Saccharomyces cerevisiae S288C: one gene and its partner. The protein of the gene in region 1 purifies or fractionates together with the protein of each later gene. This does not show direct contact. Each region holds a gene or a part of one and is shown in the gene's direction. Other genes may lie near its edges.

Region 1 (5,586 bases):
CTCATTTTCCCTTATAGCATCAACGGCTCTTTTGATTTCTTGTTCCATATATTTCTTCTCAGTATCCCTTGATACACTTACCCTTTCTTCTTTCTCGATCTCGTCTTGTACATTGTCTGTTTTAACGAAAGCGTCTTTTAACTTTGATAATGTTTCACCTTGGGCCATCAAACTTCCCTTTAAAGTTTCAATGTCTTTTTCCAGTGTTTCGATTTGGGAAAACTTCAAATTGTTTTCAACTTCTAGTTCATGCGACCTATTTAAGTTTTCATTATTGGTTCGCAATACGGTTTCATATTCTTTTATAATTTTCTCATCTTCATTTGAGAAAAATTTCAGATGATCATTTTGCAAATCATCAAGGCAAGAATAATCATCCAGCTCCTGTTTCTGAACGCAAATATCCATATACACTTCTCCCATTGATTGAATCAGTTTGTGTGTTATGATTCCACTTGATAAGTGGTAATTTACATTCGAGGAGTTGTCAGCTGTAGTAATACCTGTTAGTTGTGTCATGTCTTGTTTTAAAGGATTTGTATAATAATCGTTCTTTAATCTTTTGGTAGAGTAAAAACTTGGAGTAATATTATCCTCAATTCCGGCAACAGTTGAAGATGCTGCCTTATTAGCACCATGGCGTCCTCTTTTTTTGGAACAGTTGGAAAAAGCATCCTCTAGTTGATCATCTGACTTTTTGAAATGTACTTCCGTTAACAAAGACCTTTCTACATCCATGGAAGTATATTGTTTTAAAGGGTAAATATCTGGTAATGGCCACGGTACTGTTGGGTTTTCCAACCATTCTACTAAATAATGCAGCTTTTGTGAATAAATGGGCCTCAAATCAGGTGGAAGTGTGCCCAGTCGATCTCTTAAAATTACCATAGCTGCGGTAACGTTCTCCAAGTATTCTCTACTGTTCTTGTCAAATTTTTTACCAAAGAATAACCTACAATGATCAATTGAATTAATGGCCACTAGCCTAACAATTGGAGCATATCTTTCTAAACCCTTCCTCTCCCTCTTATATTGCAACAAATATTGAATATCTTTTTGACTTGTATCCACTGTAGTATCTAAGCAGATCAGCATGTCGAATCGAGCCTTGGATTTTATCGGATATTTTGTGAAATTAATTCCTTCAGAAGAAAACAAATGAACTGTACACGAGAAGTCATTTGCCTTTTGTTTTGACTTGATAGAATGACCGTCATATCTTTTGATATGCACCTTATTTCCCAATAGTAAGGCTTCCAGTAAGTCCATTGTTCTCCCAGGTCTACAAACAATGGCCGTTTCAGTTTCATATTCTTGAACAAGATTTATGAGATCTCTCAAAACGCTGAACTTTCCACTATTTTCCGCTAAATGTGCAGGAACATCACGAGTTATTAACGATTTAGGCATATAATGATCTATTAGTAGGTATGGATGGGTTGCTACCAGTGAACCATTTAAACACATGGTCTTCATAGATTCGAGAATGACGTCCTCTTTGTAGTGTGACGTTTCGAAGTATCTCAAGATATCTGAGTAGTGTAATGATACTATTTGATCCGTGAGTTCTTTTTGATAAAGCGACATTGTAGTTGGCAGCCAATAATCACCGGAAGTATTTCCTGAGATTCCCAGAGTAGTAGCATCAACAATTGTAGGTATTGGTTTCGTGTCTAAAATGCGTAGTAAATCCATACTAAAGGGCAATTAGTTTGTGCTTCTAACTTTCCTTTTTATCATTTTTATAGTCTAAAGTATTTCTTCTCTCTATTGTCTTTAATTGAAACTTTGGAAAACCGCGGTGTTATGGATACTAGAACACTAATGTTATTTTTTGCAGTTATCAATTAAAGTAAAAGAAGAACAAACTGAGTGGATTAAATCAGTAACTATGGATATGAAAGTAGAAAAATTAAGTGAAGATGAAATTGCACTGTATGATAGACAGATTCGTCTATGGGGAATGACAGCACAGGCCAATATGAGATCAGCAAAAGTATTGCTGATCAATCTTGGAGCAATTGGTTCTGAAATTACCAAAAGTATCGTCCTTAGTGGTATAGGGCATTTAACCATATTGGATGGACACATGGTGACTGAAGAAGATTTAGGATCCCAGTTCTTCATAGGCTCTGAAGATGTTGGCCAATGGAAGATTGATGCAACAAAAGAGAGAATTCAAGACTTGAACCCCCGTATAGAGTTGAACTTTGATAAGCAGGATTTGCAAGAAAAGGACGAAGAGTTCTTTCAGCAGTTTGATTTAGTCGTGGCTACAGAAATGCAGATTGATGAAGCAATCAAAATTAACACATTAACTCGAAAACTAAACATTCCATTATATGTTGCTGGTTCTAATGGATTGTTCGCTTATGTTTTTATTGATTTGATTGAATTCATTTCAGAGGATGAAAAATTGCAAAGTGTAAGACCTACCACCGTTGGTCCCATTTCAAGCAATAGGAGCATTATAGAAGTTACTACTAGAAAAGATGAAGAAGATGAAAAAAAAACATATGAACGAATCAAGACCAAGAACTGCTATAGGCCACTGAACGAAGTTTTAAGCACAGCAACATTAAAGGAAAAAATGACGCAAAGACAGTTAAAAAGAGTCACTAGTATCTTGCCGTTAACCCTGTCCTTATTGCAATATGGTCTCAACCAAAAGGGCAAGGCCATAAGCTTTGAACAAATGAAAAGAGATGCGGCCGTATGGTGTGAAAATCTGGGTGTACCAGCAACAGTGGTAAAGGACGATTACATACAACAGTTTATCAAACAGAAAGGTATCGAGTTTGCTCCTGTCGCGGCCATTATAGGGGGTGCTGTAGCGCAGGATGTCATTAACATTCTAGGTAAAAGGCTATCTCCATTAAATAATTTCATTGTTTTTGATGGTATTACATTAGACATGCCACTTTTTGAGTTTTAGATATATACATACCTACTATACTGTAGTTTCAGCCAAAAAAAATAATAAAAAAAGCATAATTGGAGGCAGTAAAGCATTATAGTCATACACAATAATAATAATAATAATAATAATAATAATAATAATAATAGTAGTAGTAGTAATGGTAATAAAAAAGTTAGAAAAGAAATTAGATACAGATATTCGTAGTAAAGGCCACGCAGTACAAAAAAGACGGAGAATATATTATATAAAATCCTCTACTCTTTTCGTTCAGGTCCAAAGGAAAATTCTTGCACGCGCAATGGACTGAACAGGCCTTATATTATACAAAAAGCCTAATAACGATCAAATAAAACAAAAGAAAGCCGTTGCTCCTATGCCTGACCAGAGACGGCTACTTGTTGTAAGTGAGTCATGAAATTTTGTAAGGAAACATCATCTGTTAAGACAATTGTAGATCCTCCGCGCGCCATGTCTTGATAGTTATCGGAAGGATTCAATTTAGATAACAAGAATCTGGCTTGAGAACCACCGGCTTCAGTATCAATGAATCTTGGTAGCGGGAACCTATCTACTAACAATTCTGCGGCTTCTAATTTTGGCTCTTCAAGAAGAGCTTTGAAATCTGCGTACTGTGGATCGTCTTGGTAACCGGCTTTTCTCCATTGAGCGATTTGCTCACCGTGGTATATTAAGATGAAGAAAAATGTATCTAATAATAGAATGGTATTGGGTTTGACGGAGATAGAGTCTAATAATACCGGTTGTGGATCGTCCTCCATTGAGAAAGAAGTTAGAGTTGGTTGAATCATGATTAAAGAATTAGTCGTATCCTCTCTTGTGAAAATATGTCTATAAAATGCAGTTTCATCCGGAGAATTGTTAAAGACACTTAAGAATTGGGATCTTCTTAAATAATAGGTAAATTGAGGATACAGTGAGAAATTTGGAGCCAACCTGAAAGATTGAGGATCATCTTTATTATAGTCGGCGTACTTTTGACATAGCTTAATCAAAGTTCTGTCTAACCATCTAATAACATCTGCACCATCATCGGTTTCAGCCTTGTGAACAGCAATACGAGCCATCAAAACGGCAGCAGCTTCTTGATCGAAAGAAGCTGCAATGGCAGGAGTACCGAAGGGCAAAAGCTGGTTTGCGACCGTGGTGACTCTGATACGGTTGGTACCAGAGGAGTGTTGATAAGTAGTGATGAATTGAGTATATGCTAGATGAGGTCTATCTGCTGAACCAGGGGCAGACATCATTGGGTTAGAATTAGCCGCAGTGTTTGCAATTTCAAAGAAAATCGCATACGAGTGATAAGGCGATAAGGAAGCCATCTTCCAGGTGGACGTTGCACCTATACCGATTTCAGATTCACTGATGTTGTTAGCGTCTGTCTTCTTTACAGCAGAAGCATGCCCAATCAAACCTTGTACCTTCAAGTCTTTACTTGTCTTGACTGCCATATTACCATTGAAAGCCATCTTCAAATACCCTTCTTCATCCTTGGCAAACAATCTCAAGTATGATTGCTTAAAAATCGCGGTAGAGAAGGCATCGGTTAGCAACAACACACCTCCAGTAGAGTCGGTCAACTGTTTCATTTCAGACATACCGATTTGATCGTAACAACCGGCAAAAATATCAACAGTGTGTCCATTGGCGGCAACTCTTTGTGCAATCTGGTTGTAAAACTTACAGGCCTTCTTGTAATGTTGCGCGTGATCAGAATCGATGTCGTGGTGGGATCTTAAGGGATCTTTTAACTCTGAGTTAACAATCAAACCTGGGGCCACGGTGCCTGGACCGGAGGCGAAAAGAATGATTCTTGCTGGGATGTTCTTATAGCAGCCCTGTAAAAGCAAAGATGCAATGTTCAAAGCGGAACCTGTGGCCCTTAATGGCCTATGACCCGCTGGAACAGACCATTGGTCTGGAGACAGATTTTCCAGTAATTGATTCAGTTTGAACTCGACCTGTTCCAAGGGCAGGAAGAACCTATTCAAAGAGAAGGGCGTAACTTTGTTCATGGCGTTCGGTAGATGAGATGCAGCACCGCCGGGGCCGGTAGGCTTTTGGCCGGTCAACATTTCCGTCAACGCTTCGAGCTGGTACTCCCTGTCTCCTCTGAACACGTTGCACCTGTCAATAGTTTCGCTGGACAGATCGTGCAATTGAACAACGTTTCCGTAAGTGATCAACCCAATCAGCGCGTTGGGAGGTAATAGAGACAAAGAAGTGATGATAGACTCCTTTAGCGAATCGAGGTTCTCGGTTTCCGAAGTCAAATCCACAACAAAGAAGAAAATGGGAGGAACGGTAACGGGCTTATTGGTGATGTACTCAATGGTGGTGGACTGTAACTCTAGCGGCATATTCTCCTGTGACAAGTTGGTGTACTGTGGAGGTAAATGGTTCCTGGAGTTACAGATGGGACAACTCCAGGACGAATTGCGCGGATCAATCACACAGTAAGGATTTAGAATCGACTTACAGTGTGGACCGGAACACACAACTGGATTGTATGGGGCAACGTTCAATTCGTCATACTCCTTCAAAGGTGTGTACAAACAGCCCACAGGGACGACGTTGCTGTTAGCGTCGCTTCTAGTAGAGGGAAACACGTTCCAGGTGAAACGGACCCCGTTGATGTCTTCATTAGT
Region 2 (6,675 bases), on another chromosome or scaffold:
TACTAACCGGTGGGGAAATCTTCGGCGAAATTGTTAGGTTGACCTATTTCAGTGAAGATTTATCAAGGCATGTAATCAAACAATTAGCACTGGCTGTTAAACATATGCATTCACTAGGTGTAGTGCATCGTGATATAAAACCTGAGAATCTTCTTTTTGAACCGATTGAATTCACACGCTCTATAAAACCAAAATTGAGGAAATCGGATGATCCGCAAACAAAGGCAGACGAGGGAATTTTCACACCAGGAGTTGGTGGTGGTGGAATTGGTATAGTAAAACTAGCTGATTTTGGTTTGTCTAAACAAATATTTTCCAAGAACACCAAGACTCCTTGTGGTACAGTCGGTTACACTGCCCCTGAAGTTGTCAAAGATGAGCATTATTCTATGAAAGTGGATATGTGGGGGATTGGTTGCGTTTTGTACACAATGTTATGTGGGTTCCCGCCATTCTATGATGAGAAAATTGACACTTTAACTGAAAAAATATCAAGGGGTGAGTATACCTTTCTGAAACCTTGGTGGGATGAAATCAGCGCCGGTGCCAAGAATGCCGTGGCTAAGCTATTAGAACTAGAGCCGTCTAAAAGATACGACATTGACCAGTTTTTGGACGACCCATGGTTAAATACATTCGATTGTTTACCAAAGGAGGGCGAATCTTCACAAAAGAAAGCAGGTACTTCCGAAAGACGCCATCCGCATAAGAAACAATTCCAACTATTTCAAAGAGACTCCTCGCTACTGTTTTCACCAGCTGCTGTTGCTATGCGTGACGCCTTTGATATTGGTAATGCTGTGAAACGTACCGAAGAAGACCGTATGGGAACACGTGGAGGATTAGGCTCGCTTGCTGAGGACGAAGAATTGGAAGATAGTTACAGTGGCGCCCAAGGCGATGAACAGCTGGAACAAAATATGTTCCAATTAACGCTGGATACGTCCACGATTCTGCAAAGAAGAAAAAAAGTTCAAGAAAATGACGTAGGGCCTACAATTCCAATAAGCGCCACTATCAGGGAATAGCAACTTTCCCTTCTGTTTCAATCTTTTTACCTATTCCTTTTTAAAAGATATATATACATTAAACTCCTTCTACAAGTATATATTTTATACATATCTACAGGGCGTATATATACATAACATTTTAAGATAAGCAAGTGAATGTTGATTCCCGTTTCTTAGTCAACACTTCTTTCTATTTTACCCGGTCGTTACCCTATTAAAAAAACAACTTACAATCATTGTTCGCCCCTTCCATACTTACTGCCACTCGCAAAAGGGCCCAACCAGGGCAATTACGTATCAAAAAATCATGACAGGCTGGGTAATAAATATTCGTGAAGAAAGAAGAAATTAAAAAAAGAAACGAAGAAGCAAAAAAAAGAAAAGACTCCGTTTAATCACTTTCAACCGCGGTTTATCCGGCCCCACCCATGCATAACCCTAAATTATTAGATCACTTAGCACGTGAAAAAGAAACGTTTTTAATGTTTTTTTTTTTTTTTTCTTTTTCTTTTTTTGCGTTGGTGAAAATTTTTTCGCTTCCTCGAGTATAATTATCTCATCTCATCTTTCATATAAGATAAGAAGTTTTATAAAAACCTTTTGCATCAAAATTTTGTAGAATATCTCTTTTTCTTACGCTCTCTTTCTTTCCTTAATTGTTTTCTAAAGAACCGTGTATTTTTCTAGTTCGAATCCATCGATAACATTAAAAGATGTCTGATTCCCAGCAATCCATTAAGGTTCTAGAAGAACTATTCCAGAAGTTATCTGTTGCCACTGCTGACAACAGACACGAAATCGCTTCTGAAGTCGCTTCTTTCTTGAATGGTAACATCATTGAACATGATGTTCCAGAACACTTCTTCGGTGAATTGGCCAAGGGTATCAAGGACAAGAAGACCGCTGCTAACGCCATGCAAGCTGTTGCTCACATTGCTAACCAATCTAACTTGTCTCCATCTGTTGAACCATACATCGTCCAATTGGTTCCAGCTATCTGTACCAACGCAGGTAACAAGGACAAAGAAATTCAATCTGTTGCTTCCGAAACTTTGATTTCCATCGTTAACGCTGTTAACCCAGTTGCCATCAAAGCTTTGTTGCCACATTTGACTAACGCTATTGTCGAAACTAACAAATGGCAAGAAAAGATTGCTATTTTGGCAGCTATCTCTGCTATGGTCGATGCTGCTAAGGATCAAGTTGCCCTAAGAATGCCAGAATTGATTCCAGTCTTGTCTGAAACCATGTGGGACACCAAGAAGGAAGTCAAGGCTGCTGCTACTGCCGCCATGACCAAGGCTACCGAAACTGTTGACAACAAGGATATTGAACGTTTCATTCCAAGTTTGATTCAATGTATTGCTGACCCAACTGAAGTTCCAGAAACCGTTCATTTGTTAGGTGCTACTACTTTCGTTGCTGAAGTTACTCCAGCTACTTTGTCCATCATGGTCCCATTGTTGTCCAGAGGTTTGAACGAAAGAGAAACCGGTATCAAGCGTAAGTCTGCTGTTATTATTGACAACATGTGTAAGTTGGTCGAAGACCCACAAGTTATTGCTCCTTTCTTGGGTAAATTGTTGCCAGGTTTGAAGAGTAACTTTGCTACCATTGCTGACCCAGAAGCCAGAGAAGTTACTTTGAGAGCTTTGAAGACTTTGAGAAGAGTTGGTAACGTTGGTGAAGACGATGCTATTCCAGAAGTTTCTCACGCTGGTGACGTTTCTACTACTTTGCAAGTCGTTAACGAATTGTTGAAGGACGAAACCGTTGCTCCAAGATTTAAGATTGTCGTCGAGTACATTGCCGCCATTGGTGCTGATTTGATCGATGAAAGAATCATTGACCAACAAGCTTGGTTCACCCACATCACCCCATACATGACTATCTTCTTGCACGAAAAGAAGGCCAAGGACATCTTGGACGAATTCAGAAAGAGAGCTGTCGACAACATTCCAGTTGGTCCAAACTTCGACGACGAAGAAGACGAAGGTGAAGACTTATGTAACTGTGAATTCTCTTTGGCTTATGGTGCTAAAATCTTGTTGAACAAGACCCAATTAAGATTGAAGAGAGCCAGAAGATATGGTATCTGTGGTCCAAACGGTTGTGGTAAGTCCACTTTAATGAGAGCTATTGCCAACGGTCAAGTTGATGGTTTCCCAACCCAAGAAGAATGTAGAACCGTCTACGTCGAACACGACATTGATGGTACTCACTCTGACACTTCCGTCTTGGATTTCGTTTTCGAATCTGGTGTTGGTACTAAAGAAGCTATCAAGGACAAATTGATTGAATTCGGTTTCACCGATGAAATGATTGCTATGCCAATCTCTGCTTTGTCTGGTGGTTGGAAGATGAAGTTGGCTCTAGCTAGAGCTGTGTTGAGAAATGCTGATATCTTGTTGTTAGATGAACCAACTAACCATTTGGATACCGTCAACGTTGCTTGGTTAGTTAACTACTTGAACACCTGTGGTATCACTTCTATCACTATTTCTCACGACTCCGTTTTCTTAGATAACGTCTGTGAATATATTATTAACTACGAAGGTTTGAAGTTGAGAAAGTACAAGGGTAACTTTACCGAATTCGTTAAGAAGTGTCCAGCTGCTAAGGCTTACGAAGAATTATCCAACACTGATTTGGAATTCAAGTTCCCAGAACCAGGTTACTTGGAAGGTGTTAAGACTAAGCAAAAGGCTATTGTCAAGGTTACCAACATGGAATTCCAATATCCAGGTACCTCTAAGCCACAAATCACTGACATTAACTTCCAATGTTCTTTGTCTTCCAGAATTGCTGTCATTGGTCCAAATGGTGCTGGTAAGTCTACTTTGATTAACGTCTTGACTGGTGAACTATTACCAACCTCTGGTGAAGTCTACACCCACGAAAATTGTCGTATCGCTTACATTAAGCAACACGCTTTTGCTCATATCGAATCTCATTTGGACAAGACTCCATCTGAATATATCCAATGGAGATTCCAAACCGGTGAAGATAGAGAAACCATGGACAGAGCTAACAGACAAATCAACGAAAACGATGCTGAAGCTATGAACAAGATCTTCAAGATTGAAGGTACCCCTAGAAGAATTGCCGGTATCCACTCCAGAAGAAAGTTCAAGAACACTTACGAATATGAATGTTCTTTCTTATTGGGTGAAAACATTGGTATGAAATCTGAAAGATGGGTTCCAATGATGTCCGTCGACAACGCTTGGATTCCAAGAGGTGAATTGGTTGAATCTCACTCTAAGATGGTTGCTGAAGTTGATATGAAGGAAGCTTTGGCTTCTGGTCAATTCCGTCCATTAACCAGAAAAGAAATTGAAGAACATTGTTCCATGTTGGGTTTGGACCCAGAAATTGTTTCTCACTCCAGAATTAGAGGTTTGTCTGGTGGTCAAAAGGTTAAGTTGGTCTTAGCTGCCGGTACATGGCAAAGACCTCACTTGATTGTCTTAGATGAACCTACCAACTATCTGGACAGAGATTCTTTGGGTGCTTTGTCTAAGGCTTTGAAGGAATTTGAAGGTGGTGTTATTATCATTACTCACTCTGCTGAATTCACAAAGAACTTGACTGAAGAAGTCTGGGCCGTCAAGGACGGTAGAATGACTCCATCTGGTCACAACTGGGTTAGTGGTCAAGGTGCTGGTCCAAGAATCGAAAAGAAGGAAGACGAAGAAGATAAATTCGATGCTATGGGTAACAAGATTGCCGGTGGTAAGAAGAAGAAGAAGTTGTCTTCTGCGGAATTGAGAAAGAAGAAGAAGGAAAGAATGAAGAAGAAGAAGGAATTGGGTGATGCTTACGTTTCTTCTGACGAAGAATTCTAATCTTTTTGATCACTGCTTTCACAGTTTTCTTTAAGATTTTTATTGATCAATAATTTATGTATATTTTAATTTCTATGTTTTTGTAATATTGTTTATTTTGGTAAAATATAGACGCAACTTCCTTATTATAAAGAAAGGCATTATTTAAAAGAAAAAGCGTTCCATTAGTCAGACATCTTTTTTTTTCATACATTCTTAAGCTCAGGCAAATTGAGCATTGCCTCATACCCTTTTCGGTAAGAGGGTAACGAAAATATTTTTTTGGAAGAATAAAAATAGGTGACGGATCATAGACTAGGAAGCTTTAAAACATGATTGAGCGTAATATTATATTCCTTCTAGAAAAGATAAAAGAGCCAAGACCTAAAATTTTTTCATCCCTGTTCTATTAAAATTGTGGAAATGAGGTTTTTGAGGGGATTTGTATTTTCTTTGGCTTTCACTCTATATAAAGTAACTGCCACGGCAGAAATAGGATCTGAAATTAATGTGGAAAATGAGGCACCACCTGATGGTTTATCCTGGGAGGAGTGGCATATGGACCATGAGCATCAGCTAAAAGATTACACTCCAGAGACTTTCTTCGCGTTACATGATATCAAGAAGAAAGGATTTTTAGATGAAAACGATATTCTATCTCTCTACGGGTTGAACCGTGAAGAAATTGTGGGGGCTGGTGATGGTATGGGACAACACGATGAATCTGAGAAAATTGACAATGAAATGGCTAAGCGTGTTGTTAGCCTTATTATGAGGTTATTGGATGTTGATGATAATACCAAAATCACCAAGGAGGAATATCTACAATTTGCTAAGAGAGGAAACAAGTTCCCTGACCTTGGCGTTGGTGTAGGTCACCACTCCGATTTTGAGCTAGAATATGAAATTCATCACTGGAATAAGTTTCATAAGGACAAAGATCCAGACGTTAAAGTCGTTCACAAAGAAGACATAGAACATGAATTGCTTCATCATGAACATGAAATTGAACATGAAGAAGAAATTCAAAGAGGCGCTTCTAGAGCTACTGTAATAACTGATGACGAACTAGAGTCTAGAATAGAGCTGAAAAATATTCCCGAGAAATTCAAAAATGGAATTTTTTAATGGACTTGGTCAAGATGAATAGTTGAGACTGAGAAAATATTCAAGACACTATGTATGTAGTCAATTAGCATGTAGTAAGTAATCAAAGCACTTAAAATATATTTTTACCATCGCATCGTTGTGATGCCTCTCCTTTGTGATTAACTATCTACTTTAAACGTTCTATTTTCTATGTTCTAATTACGTATGTATTGGTCTTTTCTCTCCGATGGTAACAAGAAGCGTTTCGGGAAACAGTGGCACCTCCTTGTCCCTTAAATGTCGAACTTTAACAGTATAAGTACAAAGTGAAAAAAAAAAAAAAATGGAAATATCTATGATAGTGATATGATAGAAGAGCTATTTGAATGCTATGTTGTCATATTTAGCCTTACAAAAGGGAAAAGGCAAACACAGTCTTTTGTTATTACTATAGGAAAGATAGAATTGATATTAAAACAGTATGAAGTTATTGCATTTATATGAAGCGAGCTTGAAGAGAAGGCCCAAAACTACGAATGCGATAATGACAGGTGCGCTATTTGGAATTGGTGATGTTTCTGCTCAATTGTTGTTTCCAACATCCAAAGTAAACAAGGGTTATGATTATAAAAGGACAGCTAGGGCTGTCATCTATGGTTCTTTAATTTTCTCCTTTATAGGTGACAAGTGGTACAAGATCTTGAACAACAAGATTTATATGCGTAACAGACCTCAGTACCACTGGTCTA

Evidence for each region. Proteins that work in one complex are often made in the same cells at the same time.
Region 2: the proteins of AOS1 (region 1) and YEF3 purify together in Saccharomyces cerevisiae (affinity purification with mass spectrometry, with the first as the bait; 2 studies listed by BioGRID). This does not show direct contact.

What each region holds. Positions count from the first base shown.
Region 1 is NC_001148.4:894,070-899,655, forward strand, and holds AOS1 (E1 ubiquitin-activating protein AOS1), read left to right. Parts: upstream 1-1,891; coding exon 1,892-2,935; downstream 2,936-5,586. Other genes in the region: HDA3 (Hda3p), read right to left, coding at 1-1,695; GTPase-activating protein SEC23, read right to left, coding at 3,292-5,586. UniProt on the Saccharomyces cerevisiae protein: Could be involved in a ubiquitin-related process important for DNA damage tolerance.
Region 2 is NC_001144.5:635,057-641,731, forward strand, and holds YEF3 (translation elongation factor EF-3), read left to right. Parts: upstream 1-1,723; coding exon 1,724-4,858; downstream 4,859-6,675. Other genes in the region: serine/threonine protein kinase RCK2, read left to right, coding at 1-1,028; nucleobindin SSP120, read left to right, coding at 5,261-5,965; SYM1 (ethanol metabolism protein), read left to right, coding at 6,408-6,675. UniProt on the Saccharomyces cerevisiae protein: Ribosome-dependent ATPase that functions in cytoplasmic translation elongation. Required for the ATP-dependent release of deacylated tRNA from the ribosomal E-site during protein biosynthesis.